2 linked regions of the Rhinolophus ferrumequinum genome follow. The protein of the gene in region 1 interacts with the protein of each later gene in a pairwise test. Links are inferred from orthologs where the notes say so. Each region holds a gene or a part of one and is shown in the gene's direction. Other genes may lie near its edges.

What was found. The genes of interacting proteins can lie anywhere in the genome.
Region 2: the proteins of XRN1 (region 1) and ZFP36 interact in a two-hybrid assay, tested with the Homo sapiens proteins (2 studies listed by BioGRID). The link is inferred for Rhinolophus ferrumequinum from reciprocal best matches to the Homo sapiens genes XRN1 and ZFP36.

What each region holds. Positions count from the first base shown.
Region 1 is NC_046285.1:1,789,571-1,797,733, reverse strand, and holds the start of XRN1 (5'-3' exoribonuclease 1), read left to right. Parts: upstream 1-4,875; 5' UTR 4,876-5,016; coding exon 5,017-5,091; intron 5,092-8,163. Other genes in the region: serine/threonine-protein kinase ATR, read left to right, coding at 2,374-2,479, 3,351-3,524. UniProt on the Homo sapiens protein: Major 5'-3' exoribonuclease involved in mRNA decay. Required for the 5'-3'-processing of the G4 tetraplex-containing DNA and RNA substrates. The kinetic of hydrolysis is faster for G4 RNA tetraplex than for G4 DNA tetraplex and monomeric RNA tetraplex.
Region 2 is NC_046298.1:38,568,578-38,575,948, forward strand, and holds ZFP36 (mRNA decay activator protein ZFP36), read left to right. Parts: upstream 1-4,072; 5' UTR 4,073-4,172; coding exon 4,173-4,196; intron 4,197-5,013; coding exon 5,014-5,967; 3' UTR 5,968-6,603; downstream 6,604-7,371. UniProt on the Homo sapiens protein: Zinc-finger RNA-binding protein that destabilizes several cytoplasmic AU-rich element (ARE)-containing mRNA transcripts by promoting their poly(A) tail removal or deadenylation, and hence provide a mechanism for attenuating protein synthesis.

The sequences.
Region 1 (8,163 bases):
ACTTTCGTATCCCCATGGCAATCTTATGGTTACTGACTGCTTTCTAATCCCCTCATCTACCCCCTTATTCCCCCCCCCCCTCCCATCTAGCAACCCTCAGTTTTTCCTCTATGTCTCCGAGACTGTTTCTGATTAGTTTATTTGTCTTGGCACTTTTGTTGAAATCAATTTACCATATACATAAGGGTTTATTTCTGTGCTCTCAGTTTTATTCCATTGATCTTTATTTCTAACGAATGCCAAGAACACACACTGGATCACTGTAGCTTTGTAGTCAGTTTTTAAATCAGGAAGTGTGAGTGCTCAACATTTTCATCTTTTGCAAGATTGTTTGGCTGTTACGGGTCCCTTGCATTTCCATCTGAATTTTAAGATCAACTTGTCAATCTCTGCAAAAAGACAGCCTGGATTTGATAGGAATGACATTGAATCTAAATCAATTTGAGAAGTATTGCAGTCTTACCAGTATTAAGTCTTGTGATCTGTGCATGTGAGATTGCTTTCTATTTAAGTCTTCTTTAATTTCTTTCAACATTTTGTAGTTTTTGGTTTGCAAGTTTTTAAGTATTTTATTCCTTTTAATGCTATTCTAGTGGGATATTCTTAGTTTCATTTTTGAATTGTTGATTGCTAGTATATAGAAATATAACTGATATTTGTAGATTGATCTTGTATCCTGCAACCTCACTGAACTTGTTTATTACTTCTTATAGTTATTTTTGTAGACACGTTAAATTTTTCTCTCTACAACAGCACATCATCTGCAGATACAGTTTTACTCCTTCCTTTCTAATCTCAATGCCTTTTCTTTTTCTTGCCCAATTGCCCTAGCTAGATCAATGTTAAGTAGACATGGAGAGAATCTACATTCTTGTCTTGTCCTGATTTCAGTGGTAAAGAAGTCCATCTTTCACTATTAAATATTATGTTAGCTGTTGGAGGTACAGTTGACCCTTGAACATTATGGGGATTAGGGGCACTGACCCCCTGCACAGTTGAAAATCTGCATGTAACTCCCCAAAAACATAACTACTAATAGCCTACAGTTGTCTGGAAGTCTTACTCGTAAACAGTTGATTAACACATAATTTGTATGTTTCGTGTTTTTTATGTACTGTATTCTTACAATAAAAAGTAAACCAGAAAAAAGCTAATGTTATTAAGAAAATTGTAATTATAGTACGGTACATATTTATTGAAAAAATCTACATATAAGTGGACCTGCACAGTTCAAACCTGTATCGTTCAAAGCTCAACAGTAGTTTTTTTTAAGGACAGATGAGCAGAGCTAGATTCTGAAAAGTCCACATGAGGCCAGTTTACACATTCAAACTTTGCCCTGAGAACAACCAGAAATCATTGGAGGATACTAAGAAGAAAATAAAAAAAGAAGAGAAAATGAGATCATCAGATTTGTACTGTAGAAAAATTATAGTTCCAGTTTGCACTAGAGTCCAGAAAGCTAGTTAAAGGACTGTTGCATTAACCCAAGAAAAAAATGATGGTGCACTGAATGAGGTAGTGACAGTAAAGATGGAGATAAGTAGAGAGACTCTAAAGAGATTTAGGAGGTAGAATTGAGGAAGCCAGGATGATTCCTAGATTTTTGTTTAGGGCCAATGGGTGAATAATGTCGTTCTTTACTGATTTGAGGAATACAGGAGATATAGTTTGGGAAAGAGTCATGAGTTTTGTTTTGAAAACATTGAATTTGATGTGCCTACAAGATACCCATTTGGTTTTCCCACAGGGAATTGGATTTGACTTTTAGAGCATAGTAGAAGAATCTGGGTAGGTCTGTATCACGGGTGTCCAAACTGCGGCCCGCGGGCCAACTGTGGTCCGCAATCCATTTTTAATTGGCCCGCAGCAAATTCCAAAAATATATTTAGTTTACTTAAATAAACCCGGTGAGGCAGTATGTACTTCACCTCGAGTGAGTGGCCCGGCTGTTTGTGTATTTTACTGCATATGGCCCTTGGTGAAAACCGTTGAAAAAAGTTTGGACACCCCTGGTCTACATGGAAAGCTATAGATGTTTTATGGTCATTGTGGAGACATGGCAGGGGATGAAATTCACTCATTTAATAAATATTCGTTAACCAGTTTACATGATGCATTTAGAGACAGCACACAGAACTCATCTTTCTTTACTCTCTAAGAATACCTCTGACCCTGTCTTTTGTCTTCCCCTTCCCTCCATACCCCAAAAGAATAATTTCATATATTTTACTGAAACAGTAATTGTGTAAGAGCATTACCATTAGCTTTTCATCCTTCACTTATTTTTCACCTAAGTATTGACTTTATCAAGATTTCTTTTTGCAAAGATAACACTGTATTATTACCATAATATTTTTGTTTCCATTTCAGTGTCTTAAAGACTTTTCTACATGATCCTCTTGTGGAATGGAGTAAACCGGTGAAAGGCCATTCCAAAGCGCCACCAAATGAAACTGGGGAAGTCGTCAATGAAAAGGTTTGTAGAAGGTGTAGCTTGATTTGATATTGTGTATCTCTACAAACGCAAGCTGATTCTAAATACTGTCAGTGACTGACCATGGAGTACTCTGAAATCCAGTTCTGTAGTATGTCAATACCCTAAGTTTTCTTTATTGTCATTACTAATGTTAACATTATCTTTGTATAATAAAAGCAGAGTTCAGGTCACACTTGTTTAGCCATAGACAATTCACAATTATGAGATAGAGTGGGAAAAACTTGAAGACAAATTGCGTGGACTTACACAGTAACAGGTCTCAGCTTTAATATGTAGAATTCACTCCTTACTAATATTAGTTGAAGCATCCAAGTTTGCAGATAGTTATTTTTATAAGTTAGAATAGATGGAAGATTGTTTTTCTAACATCATTCTCACTTTTGCATTCTGATATGCTTTTTCGATTGAGAGAAATGTGTAAATTCTAACTAGCTCACTTAGCACTTCTATTTGCATATACTAACATAATCTAAATATTAGGCATTAAAGTATTGTTGTTATTATTAGAATATTCATCCAAATATTTAAGTCCTAAACAGATTCAGGATAGATTTTTTAAAGTTACTATTTTTCTAGAATTATAATGTGGAAGAGATATCCCTGGTTTTCACATACTACAGAAAAATGTCTAAGCAGTTGATGTTGGATCAACATTGCAAGCCTTAAAGTCAGTTATTGTAGGTTGTCGTTCTTGTTTCATTTCTTCTCTCTTTTGTATTTGCTCTTACATAAGGGGTAAAATGGCATTAACATTTGTTAAATAACAGAAAGGTAGTAATTCCAAAATCAACATGCACATGTCATTGAGTTTTTATTTTAGCCTTTATGATTTTCAATTTCTTCCTTTTAGGCCAAGACTCATGTTCTTGACATTGAGCAGAGACTGCAAGGTGTAATCAAGACCCGAAATAGAGTGACTGGGCTGCCATTATCTATTGAAGGACATGTGCATTACCTTATACAAGAAGCTACTGATGAAAATTTACTATGCCAAATGTACCTTGGTTGGACCCCATATATGTGAAATGAAATTACTTCAAAGAATATGTTAATAACCTAAAATTAATGCACTTGGTATTAATTTGTGGTTGTATTTGTTCAATTCCAAAGTTCAACATAAGCTGCTTTATGTTCTCAGAGCAACTGGTATTATTTCTCCTTGATTGTTAATAATATTTAAAATAATATATGTTATTAAGAAATAAATTGCTTTCTTAATATATAGTGTGTATTATAACCAGAGAAATGGAACATCCTATGTTTTGATGCTCTAAAAATATGTATTTGCAAGAAAAAATCTAGCCTAATTTCATTTTACAACTTTTATTTTTAAGTACTCAATAGCATAAGGATTCATTTGAACACAAAAATATGTTAATAAATTCTGTGCACCAAGCACGGTGCTAGATTTGTGCTCAGAGCTTATGTATTCTGCCCTCTAGAAACTGACAGTCTAGTAAATCAGAGATACAAACATAAATAGCACATCACATAAGTTCACTTAATAAACTCTTTTTTGTGTATGGCTGAAAATGTGATAGAGAAAAAAAACAAGCCACGAAGCACGAATATGAAAACTATAGAAACATTCTGTAATTTTGAAGATGCTGCCATACTGAAACACCCAAATACAGAATCCAGTGGTCTTGGAAGGCAGCAACACTTGAAATTTCATGAGATTTTAAAACTACAAAAAAAATTTTTTAATTTTTTCAGGTTTTCCTGCAGAAGACCTAACATAATTCATAATAATTACAAAGCAGTGAGGTTATTACATTAAAATAAATGGAAAACTTTGTAACATGATTTCACGTAAGTTCACTTGAGAGAATTCTGCATTTTTTTGCATGGTTGAAAGTGAGATGGGGAAAACACTATAAGCCAGGAGGTATGAATGTGAAAACTAAACACAGAATTTCGTATCTAAGGCCTAATATTAATAGTTGAGGAGGAAGCTGGGCGGGGATGGGAGGTGGAGGGAGTTAGGACATTTTTTTCCAACAAATAACTTGTTAAAGAATGTTTTTAAAAGAAACTTTGCCGAAAAAAACTCCCCCTCACCAAACAAAACTAAACCAAATAAATCACCAGACCTTTCCAAATCTGTGTTGAAAATACCGAGATGAGCATCACGGGCGACTCAAGCAGCCAGGACAAAAATCAGTGTTCAGTATTCTCTCTCCAGCAATCAGGTGAGTGTTTCGCAGCACTTGCAAATCCCCTTATGGCCTGTAAACAGGCATTTTCAGAACTGAGTTGAACACTCACCTCGCAAACGCCTCGGGCTCTTAGACGTGCCCTGCAGCGAGCACACGCGGTGAGCTGGGGCCGGGATCGGAGCCCCGCCCCGGGGATGTGGCCTCGAAGCCGGCCGCTCTAGGCCCGGCGGCGCTCTCTATGATCCGGCGGGCGGTGTGTTGTCATCGGCGGAGCGACGGCCGGAGGCCCCGGAGTGTAGGCCCCGGCGGGGCGTTTGGTTTCGGTTTGTCCCTGGTGAGTTAGTGTTGACAGTCGAAATGGGAGTCCCCAAGTTCTACCGATGGATCTCGGAGCGGTATCCCTGCCTCAGCGAAGTGGTGAAAGAGCATCAGGTGGGTGAGCGAGGGGCAGCGGCTCCGCAGGCCGAGGACCCGGGGCCCCGCGGCCCGCTCCCCCCGGGGACGGGGGCTCTCCAGTCCCCCTTTCTGCTCGTCGTCTGCCGGCTGGGTGGCGAGGCGAGGGCAGCAGAAGGGCTGCGGACGCCCGGATGACCCGAATGGGGCGACGACAGGCTGCGTTTCTGTGCGCGCAGCCTCGGGGGCGCCGCAGTTCTGACAGCTCCCTGCCTGGCAGGCCCTTCCGCGATTCCGAAAGCGGGTGCTGGGCCAGTGCGCCGTACTGAGCGCCTCTTCCCTGTGCTCCCCGGAGCTGCAGGGTGCGTTTCCCAGCGCAGAGCCGAGGGCGTCCGCCCGGGACCTCCCGGCCCCGCCCAAGGCCACGGACCCACGGACCCACGGACGGGCGATTCCTGCCGCCTCCGCGACGCAATCCCCTTGTTTACTCTCCTCTAGAGGAGGCTGCGTCCCGCCCCACCCGGCGCCGAGGCTCCCCGCATGCCCATTCCCCCCCAAAACAAAACACACTTGGACGGGGAAGGGGCATCATGCGGAGGTGTGTGTGTCAGGGAGAGACACTACTTACAGCAATATTTGGTATATAACGAGCCCAGGGTGACGTTTATGTGTACATTCCAAAAATGAAGTGTATATATCGCAACTGTGAAGGAATAGAAAGCAGTCATTTAGACTGCTAGACTTTCGGTGATACGTGTTTGTCACATTTAATGATTTTAGTAGACCTCTTGTCTGCTTTACAGAAAAAAAATAGTTTTGAAATGTGTATAGGTAATTGAATTGATTGTGATAGGTAGCATTGTATTCGTAGTCGGGGGTGTTCATCCATCCAACACCAACCATCATGCTGTTAAATTATGGTTTAATCTTTTTTAAAAATACACCATAGCATGAAGGTAGGGCTAAATTTCCAGAAAGGATTCCTTGTTGTTGGATCACCATCAGATTTGGTAAATGAGGAAAAGCTTACAAAAAATTCCAAAATGGTAGTCTGCCTTTAATTTGTTTGAAACATGGGTTGAGTTAGATTTAGGCAGACATTTCTTTCCAGAGAAGAGGGTAAAAAAGGTTACCAGTATATTGCAGAAATAGAGACGACAAACTGACTTTTCCTGGTCCTTCATTCAAAAAAGGTTTGAGTATCTGTAATACATCATTCATTTTCTCTCTCTCAAGTGGAAAAAAATGTGATTGTTATTGAAGCTGACTTGATAATACATAGTTTGTTCAGTGATATTTTTGCTCTGTACTCTTTGGCACAGAATTTGGTTTGGAGAGAATAAGTATCCCTTATTCTCTCCATGCTGAGGAGTTTGTTACTGAAGAACAAAAACAGTCTCTTCAAGGCAGTTTTATGACGTGAACACTAAGGGTAGATTTAAACTGGGTTCATCAAAATGATGTGTTTCAAAAATTTTTGATTCTGGTTGTTAACAACAACCACAAAAGCAAATGTTAGAAAGGGTTACCATGCTACTCTCTCAAGCAGTACATAAAAGATGCGAATGCCTGAATCACAATGGTTCAAAAGCTAGTTCTGGGGGGAGGGGGTTGGAAAAAGGTTGGGAGGAGGGGTGGGTTCTGGAAAGAGGATGGGTGGTGGTGGTGATACTAGCATAGGTTTTGGTCTCTGAATCCTTACATAAAAACAGAAAGAGCAATTAGATAGCAAAACTTAAAATCCATAGAACAATTACAACAAAACCACATAACAGGGTATCCCCACGAATATAAGGAGTTGAGGACAAATTACCAATAGCTTCTAGACCCAATCAGTATTGGCATTTCTGCAAGAGAAAGGAAGAAGCAATGGGGAAATATCTGTGGACCTGAGAACAAGAGAACTCCAGAATATTCCCTAAAAGACTCTGAGGGCCAGTTAGATAACTAGCTGTAAATAAGGCGTTTTAAAGGGCAGGAGCAGTCTACCTCCTGTGGACTCTCCAAACTGACTTACCAAGGCCCCATTCTAAGGCAGAGCCCACACTAAGGAGAAACTGCTGGAAGTAAAATGAAATTTTATCAGAAAAGGGACAATAGAGAAAAGAGAAGAGGAAGGTCCAGATAAAAGTGGGGGGAGGTTACAAAGTCAAGAAATCTTAGAAAACAACCACCAACCAAACCACCCAATTTTTAACACTACCCCAAAACAGCAGAAGAGGGAGCTTGTGAAGTTATGGCTTTCCTGAACCCTTCCTCATTCTAAAAGTTCAGGAAAATTAAATTTACATAAAAATGAGCAACAGAAAAGTATCAAGGTGAAAATAACATGCAAAGTTATTACAGGGAAAAAAAGGAACAAAATAGTACACCCCCAGACAATAAAAGCTTGCGATAAAAATATGCACACAAAACAGACCACAACTATAACTTACTATTTCAGAATGAGCTAAAAGACACTAAGAAAATGATATAAGACGTGAAAGAACATTTATCAATTATGGAAATTCAGAAGTAAGGGACAGAACCTAGGGAAAATTAAACATACATGAAAAAATCATTTCAGAAATGGAACCTAAAGTAGTAGCAAGGCAAAAGCAAATGATGCCACGAGGTAAAAAAAAAGGTGAGGAAAAAAAGGTAGAAGAGGAAATTTTAAAAGATAAAGGTTTAAGAGAAAGTAACTAAAAAGATAGGCAAAGAAAACAAATAATGGGTTCCTGAAAAACGAAATCAAAGCAATTAAAACAAATACTAGAATTAAAGAAAATTTTCCTGAAATTAAAAAAATATATATTTGAAATTGCACGTTGAAAGAATATACCATGTACCTAAAAATATTGATTCAGGTGACCAACACCAAGACCTAGTCTAGTAAACTTACCGGACTTCAAAGAAAAAGAAAAAGACAAAAAGCTTTGGTTATTTAGAAGAAAGAACACATGCCTTATAAGGAAAAGAAAATTAGGTTCCCATCACAGTTTTTGATACCAGTGCGTTATGTCAGAAAAAAATGGAGTAACATAAGATACTCAGCAAACTGACTTTTGAGTATAAAGGGTAAACTGATAAACTACTTTTAGTGTACAGGAATTGAGGAAATACTGTTCC
Region 2 (7,371 bases), on another chromosome or scaffold:
GTGGACATTGGGGAAAAGAGCGTTCCAGGACGGGAATGGCAAGTGCAAAGGCCCTGAGGCTGGAAAGTGACAGTGTGTTTATGGAATAACGTGGAGTCCTGGACCACAGTGAAGAGGCAGGGACAGATGTCCAGGCAGGTTATGGAGGCCCTTGGTTTAGATCTTCACTAGGTTATTTGACCCAGAGGGCAACGTACAGCCTGTTGCACGACCACACTCTCCAGGGAAGGGTGTACATGAGATGCACTGCCACACAGCAAACTGTTTTGGGGGACACAAGCACATACAAGACCCCACCCCAGCAGAGAATAGCATAACCCACCATCCTATTATCATGGTGTCCCCAGGCTCTCAGTCCCAGTGACAAACCCACATCAGACTAAAGGAACAATCCATGTGAATACACAAACAGCACTCTAACCACTACTTAACCTGCTATCTCTTACCCCATCGCAGACTTTGCCCATCACTGGCTGACTCAGCCATGCCCTCAGCTCAACATTATCAAAAGCAGCCTTGGCTGGGAGAGATAAGGTTTCCCAGGTGCCAGTATGTGCGCCTGTGTGTGTCTGCTCTGCCCATACAGGCTGGCAGAGACATGGAGTGGAGAGTGCGCCCACAACCTCCCCGTCATGCGCCAGCTGTAGACGTCAGGAACCAAAGTTCACCAGTTTCACTACCTTGTGACTGGGCCACAGAGGAACCACCAGATGCTGGCCTCGTATGTTCTCAGTGACACCCCCAAATAAGGACACAGACACATAAGAACACTATTCACTACACACATGAACTGCAGGGGCCTGTACACAGCCGCAACTGCCAATAGTCTCACAGATGCTTATACATACTCAACTTGGACGTGTGTATGCAGATCCTCATCGCAGCAGAGGGCAGTCAGTCATACCCTCACCAGGCTCTCACGGAGTTACACACACTTAGTCACTCCAGATCCCACAGTGGTTCAGAGGTACAAGAGACCTGCAGGTTGGGTTTGTAAGTCACACCAACACCACCTCAAAGACAAGGTTGAGTACACACTCCCACACCCAGAGATGGTTAAAGTAAAAACAGTATAAATCAGTCACAGGCCCAAGCGGTTTCACACAATTTATTCACAGCCATGTCAAGTGGGATTGAAAATACACAGCCCTCACACAGGGAAGTGGGCCCGCTCGTGTCCCACACCTATTGGTGCAATGGCATACCCAGGTACCCCAGGTCTTAACCCAGTCACGCCAGGGCACACACCTTCGCACCTGCAGCGCATACTTCACACAATATACGACACACATATACACACACAAACTCTCTCTCTCTCTCTCTCTCTCTCTCTCTCTCTCTCTCTCTCTCTCTCTCTCTCTCTCTCTCTCTCTCTCTCTCTCTCTCTCTCTCTCTCTCTCTCTCTCTCTTTCTCAGGCCCACGCAGTTGCACAAAGCCGGCCGCACCCGCTCACGCCCAATCACACCAGGCGCACACTCGGCCTGGGCACACGTGCCGCCGCGAGTACACGGCCCCCGCTCGCCCGCGCACTAGCCCCGGCTCTCACACCCCCGCATTTCCCGTCCCCGCTTGTTTTTCTGGAAACTGCGCTCCGTTCCCCTCCCCCTAGGCCGGAAGTGCTCGTTGTATTTTTAGCTTCTCTGGTTTCCGCCCCTTTCCCCCAGCTCCTGCCCGCCCAGGAGTTGCCCCCTGCACCCCGCCGGGGACCCCGGCCATCCCCTTCCCCACCGTCATTCCAGAGGGGATTCCCGGCCGCCGCTGGGGCCACGGATTTTCCCGCCGGCTACGTGGGGCGTGGGGAGGAGTCCTGCCCTGAATTTCCTCCTGGGCTGGGACGTCTGAGGCCAGGATAGGGTGGGAGGTGGGTGGAGAGCTGGCCTCCTAAATCGGAGGGAGGAGGGGCTGGGGGTTCGGACTTTAGGGTCTAACCTAGGAGGGACTGGAGGTCGGCTCTCCTGGGTCTAAGCCAGAGGTGGCTTGGAGACCTGGACCCCTAGATCTGAGCAAGGAGGGATCGAGGCCCGGTCTCCTGGGTCCCACCCGTCCGGGTTTCGGGGTCGGTCCTTTCCGGTGCAAAGCCCCCCCAACCCCCTTCCAGCCTCTTCAAGAGTCGCCCAATCCAAAGCGTCCAGGCTCTTGGGCCGATGACTCAGCAGATGGGAGAGGGGAGGGGGTCAGCCTGACTCAGGGATGGGAAATGTTCCCTGTCTCCAGGGAATCGAAACTGGAATCCCTCCTCCCAGATCGAGGCTGGCGCCAAGCCGGACTCCGGGGACCCCAGGTGCACCCCACCTCCCGTTTTCCTGCTGCCTTCGTCCTACTAGCGGCACAGGGATTTGGAGCCCAACCGGGAGACGGGTGCCAGGCACCCCGCCTTTCCCCCCTTTTCCCGTTGTCCTCGAGGCTCTGTTTACAGGCGACTGAAGCCCTGGTTACAGGAGAGGAACCCTGGCGTCCGGGCTGAGCCTCCTCGTCACGGCTTCCAGGAAGGCCCCCTCCCCCGCCCCTTGCGAGTGAGTCACGGGCGAGCGGGAGGCTGCAACCGTGCCAGAGCCGCCCGCAGCCACCCAGCTCACGGGACTGGTCGGGAAGGCCCCCTCAGCCCCAGAAGGCGCCGCACCAGGGATTTCCCCGAGCTCTGTCCGACAAGGCGGGTCGGTGTGCCTTGCCGAATCTCCCCACTTCAATCTGCAAGAATGAACTTGGCACTATTATAACAGCACTCCATGGCAATGGTTTCTGCTCCCATATTTTCACTCAGGGCAGCCAGCTCACCAAGACTCCCTTAAGAAACGAGTTTTCTTCCCAGATCTTGATGTTTTTACGAAGGGCAACCGCTTACCAATAAACGGCTTGCTTATGTGGGGAGTGATCCCCGTAAGTTTAGAATTCCCTCAAGGTACACCCCTTTATGATACCCATTGGGCTATCAATTGGGGATGACCCATTACTTCCATATCAAAACAGCTTTCCATCAAGGTAACCCGCCACCACAATGAAAGATCTTGCCCTTTCCGATCTTGAGTTCTCCGAGAAGGCAAATGCAACATAATTTAAAGCCCTGGTGTTGGGCTGCTGCCACTTATTGAATGAGAATAGGAGAGTAACTTGACCTCTATGCCTGGGTTTCCTCGTGTATAAAATGGTCACAGTAACCCCTCCTTGAGTTAATGTATGTATGTAAAACACTTTCATACAACAGTGCCTAGCCTAGAGGAAGCGATCAGAAGTGCCACTATCTGTGGGAGGGCGAGAGGCTACAGTGGCTCTGGAATTGGGAAAGGAGGCCCCTTTCCAGCCTCGCCAAATATCCAGGACCCCACCCCTGGAGAGTGGGGGCGGGGAGGGCGGTCAAGGTCTCCGGATCTGGGATGTTTGAGCGAGACGAAGCCAGGCCGGCAGGTCTCGGGAGAGAATTCCCTGCCAAGCCTGTTGGTTGCCTTTCTCTGTTTTGCTCCTGCGGATTTCTGTCTAAGGGTGTTTGTTTCTATTTTTTCAACCTCTTTTTCTGTTTCTTTATGTGACCCTCCCTCTCACTTCTCTGAATTTGTTTCTGGGACTGTCTCTGTCATGTCTTTTCTGTCTGTCTCCCCACCTCCTCTCCTCTCCTTACCCAGTCTCTCTTCTCTTCCCTCTCTCTCTCCTTCCCTGTGTATGTCTCTCCCTCACTCTGCTGTGTCTCTTGTGTTTTTCTGTTTGCCTCTCTCCATTTCTCCGTCTCTGGCTCTCCGCGCCTCTCCCCGCCCCCGTCCGTCTGTCTCTCACACGCACTCCCACTGCCTCGGCCTCTGCCCTTGTCAGTTCTCCTAGGAACCCTGCCCCCACCTCGGTCCCAGTTCCTATATCGCGCCTCAGTCTCCAGCCTTGAAAACTGGGTGGATACCCGCACCCCACAAACTCCCCACCGGGTCGCGGCCGCCTGCGGGCCCAGCTCGTGCGCATCCGGGCTGGGAGCCAGGCGGAACCGGGACCAGTCCCGGGTCGGCGGGCTGCGCTGGGGGCGCGCGTCCGGGAAGCGCCCCATCGTGACCCCGCCCACCAGGCCCGCCCCCTCATGGCCCCGCCTCCACTTATCTCATAAAAGCACCGGCTCCTACACCGGGCGGTAGTCTCACTCCAGCGCTCTCCTACTTTCGGCCGGGTTCACCGTTGATCGGCTCTCCGCGCCGCCATGGATCTCACCGCCATCTACGAGGTGAGTCTCCGCCGATCGGTACCCTGGGGTCCCAATGCCTGACTTCCTTCTCAAACTAGGGCTCTCTACCGCCGCAAACTCCAGCCCGGGATCCCTGGCTCTCTTCTCTAAGTGGAACTCCTTAGCGCCGTACTCTCCGGCCGGGCTCTTGCCTTCCTTCTCAGACTAATGTGATTCCTTGGAGGTGAAAAATGGAGCCCGCGACTTTAGGGTCTCTGCCCAAACATGGGTGGGGTGACCCTTGGAGATGGAAAGCGGGAGGAGTTTTCTCAGACTAGGGCTGTGTGGAGGCGGAAATGGCCCCACACCTGGCTTCCCCCCAGTAGTTGCTGAGGGCGCGGTTTTGCGCGGAGGCGTTTCTGGGGCTGGAGTCTCGGGGTGATGGGAAACCGACTTCTGTCTCCACTCCCTGACCCAGAGGAGTTCTCTGGGACTCAAAACCTAAAAGATCCAACTGCTAGGTTAACTTTGCCGGCTCCTCCAGTTGTGAAACCAGAGAACACAAGGAGTGGGGGTCAAATCCCAAGAGGCCCGAAGGCTCAAAATTGGAGGGCATTGGTGTGCCCCTGAGTTTGGGGGCCTCTCCATCCAGCCGGGGGACCCAGGATTCCTGGGTCCTTCGAGATAGGCTTCATTCGCTAATAAACTCAACCTCCAATTCGGGGTCCCTCCGATCCGGAACCTATGAGTTTCTGCGGGCGGGTGGGGCTAAGGCTAGGAGCCCACAAACCGGACTGGCAAGCTCCTAGGTGCCCTGAAGCTGAGGAGAGGCGTCACCCTGCATTTTCGGTGTCTTAACCGATCCCTGTTCCCACAGAGCCTCCTGTCGCTGAGCCCTGACCTGCCATCCGACCATGGAGACACTGAATCCAGCCCAGGCTGGGCCTCCTCAGGACTCTGGAGCTTCAGCTCATCTGATTCCAACCCATCTGGGGTTGTTGCCCGCCTGCCTGGCCGCTCCACCAGCCTGGTGGAGGGTCGGAGCTGTGGCTGGGTGCCCCCACCCCCAGGCTTCGCACCCCTGCCTCCCCGCCCAGGCCCTGAGCTGTCGCCCTCACCCACCTCACCTACTGCGACCCCCACCACCTCATCCCGATACAAGACTGAGCTTTGTCGGACCTTCTCAGAGAGTGGACGCTGCCGCTACGGGGCTAAGTGCCAGTTTGCCCATGGCCTGGGTGAGCTGCGCCAGGCCAGTCGCCACCCCAAGTACAAGACGGAACTCTGCCACAAGTTCTACCTCCAGGGCCGCTGCCCCTATGGCTCGCGTTGCCACTTCATTCACAACCCCAGCGAGGACCTGGCTGCCCCTGGCCACCCCCATGTCCTGCGCCAGAGCATCAGCTTCTCAGGCCTGCCCTCAGGCCGCCGAGCCTCGCCACCACCGGCAGGCCTAGCAGGCCCTTCCCTGTCCTCATGCTCCTTCTCGCCCTCCAGCTCCCCACCACCACCACCTGGGGATTTTCCACTTTCACCCTCTGCCTTCTCTGCTGCCCCTGGGACCCCTGTGGCCCGAAGGGACCCTACCCCAGCCTGTTGTCCCTCCTGCCGAAGGGCCACACCCAGCAGCGTCTGGGGACCCGTGGGTGGCCTGGCTCGGAGCCCCTCTGCACACTCCCTGGGATCTGACCCTGATGAATATGCCAGTAGCGGCAGCAGCCTGGGAGGGTCCGACTCACCAGTCTTTGAGGCTGGGGTTTTTGGGCCACCCCAGCCACCTGCAGCCTCTCGGCGACTCCCCATCTTCAATCGCATCTCCGTGTCTGAGTGACAAGTGCCTGCCCAGTACAGATCAGCTGGATCTTAAGGGGGGCCATTTCTCTTGTACTGTGGGGAACTCTTATAATCAAGTAGCCCCCGTCTTCCAAAATGCATTAACCCACTCCACTGACCCCATACTGGGGCAGGTCCCCAGTGTGCAAGTTCATGGTGTTGGGGGAAGGAGTGTATTCTGAAGTCTTTGTATTAAAAAAGATGTAGCAAATTTAAGGGAGGCAGTGAGGCCTCTTCCCCCCACCCTCTCCCCTGCCCAATGCTGTGAATAAATAGGCCCCCACTGCCCCCTCCCAGTTTTTCCTAGACCCTGAGGTTCTGGTGTGACTGGAGCCTCCCCATGAGGGGCAATCCTGGTGCTCAAGTTTCCCTCCAAAAGCAAGTAGCCAAAACGTTGCCAACCCCCCTCCCCCAATCATTGGGCCCTTTATTTATGACGACTTTATTTATTCTAATAGATTTTATAGTATTTATATATATTGGGTCGTCTGCTTCCCTTGTATTTTTCTTCCTCCTTTTTGTAATATTGGAAACGATGGATAATTATTGTTGTAAGTGTACTATAATAATATATTAAGTAATATATATTGTTAAAAGTTTATTTTTCTGTGTTTTTTTGAATTTTTGAATAAAAGGCATCTATGTGTAAACTGGAATCCTGGCTTTCCTGCGATCTAGAGGCAGTGAGAGTGGGGAGGATGGTGTGCCCCTTTTTAGAAGCGGGTTGAGTCGATTCACACAGTTCCTTCAAACCTTCCCGGAGCCACAGCCACCAGCCGCGCTTACCTGGCAGGAAGTGACGTCACCTGACCTGGCCATTCACCTGAGGGGGCGGGGCCAGGTGAGGTCACCCGGTAGGAACCAGGAGAGCCAGTTCCCGGGGCGTCGGGGGCTCAGGCGCTCCCCTCTTGTCGGGCTCCTTGACCCAGCTCTCAGCTGGGCGCGGATGGGATGTTTCCATCCCCGCGGGGCTGAGGGAGGAGGGCGGGGCGGTGCGGGGAGGACGGAATGTGCCGGGGCGCGAGCCCAGGGCGGGCGGGGGCGGGGGGAGGGTCAGCCCGGAAGCCGGGGTGGCCTGGGGCCCACCACCCGGCCTTCCAGGACCTGAGGGGCTGGGGGATTCACACTCTCGCAGTCGTGGGGGAGGTAGCTCTAATTAAGTTTCAGGGTTCTAGAATCGCAACATTTTGGAATCTTCAGAGCTAGTTTCCCGGACGTTTAGAATTCTAGACCCTGGTGTGTGTCTGCGTTTAGGAATGGCGAAGTTGTAGCTTCTGGCTTTCCGGGACCTCAGAGCCTCGGAAGTACCGCACCTCGGCCGGTCGGGAGTCGAAAAATTTGGGCTTGCGGGATTCTGGCCTTTCCGCGCCCACGAAACGCGAGGCCCGGGTGTGTGGGTCGC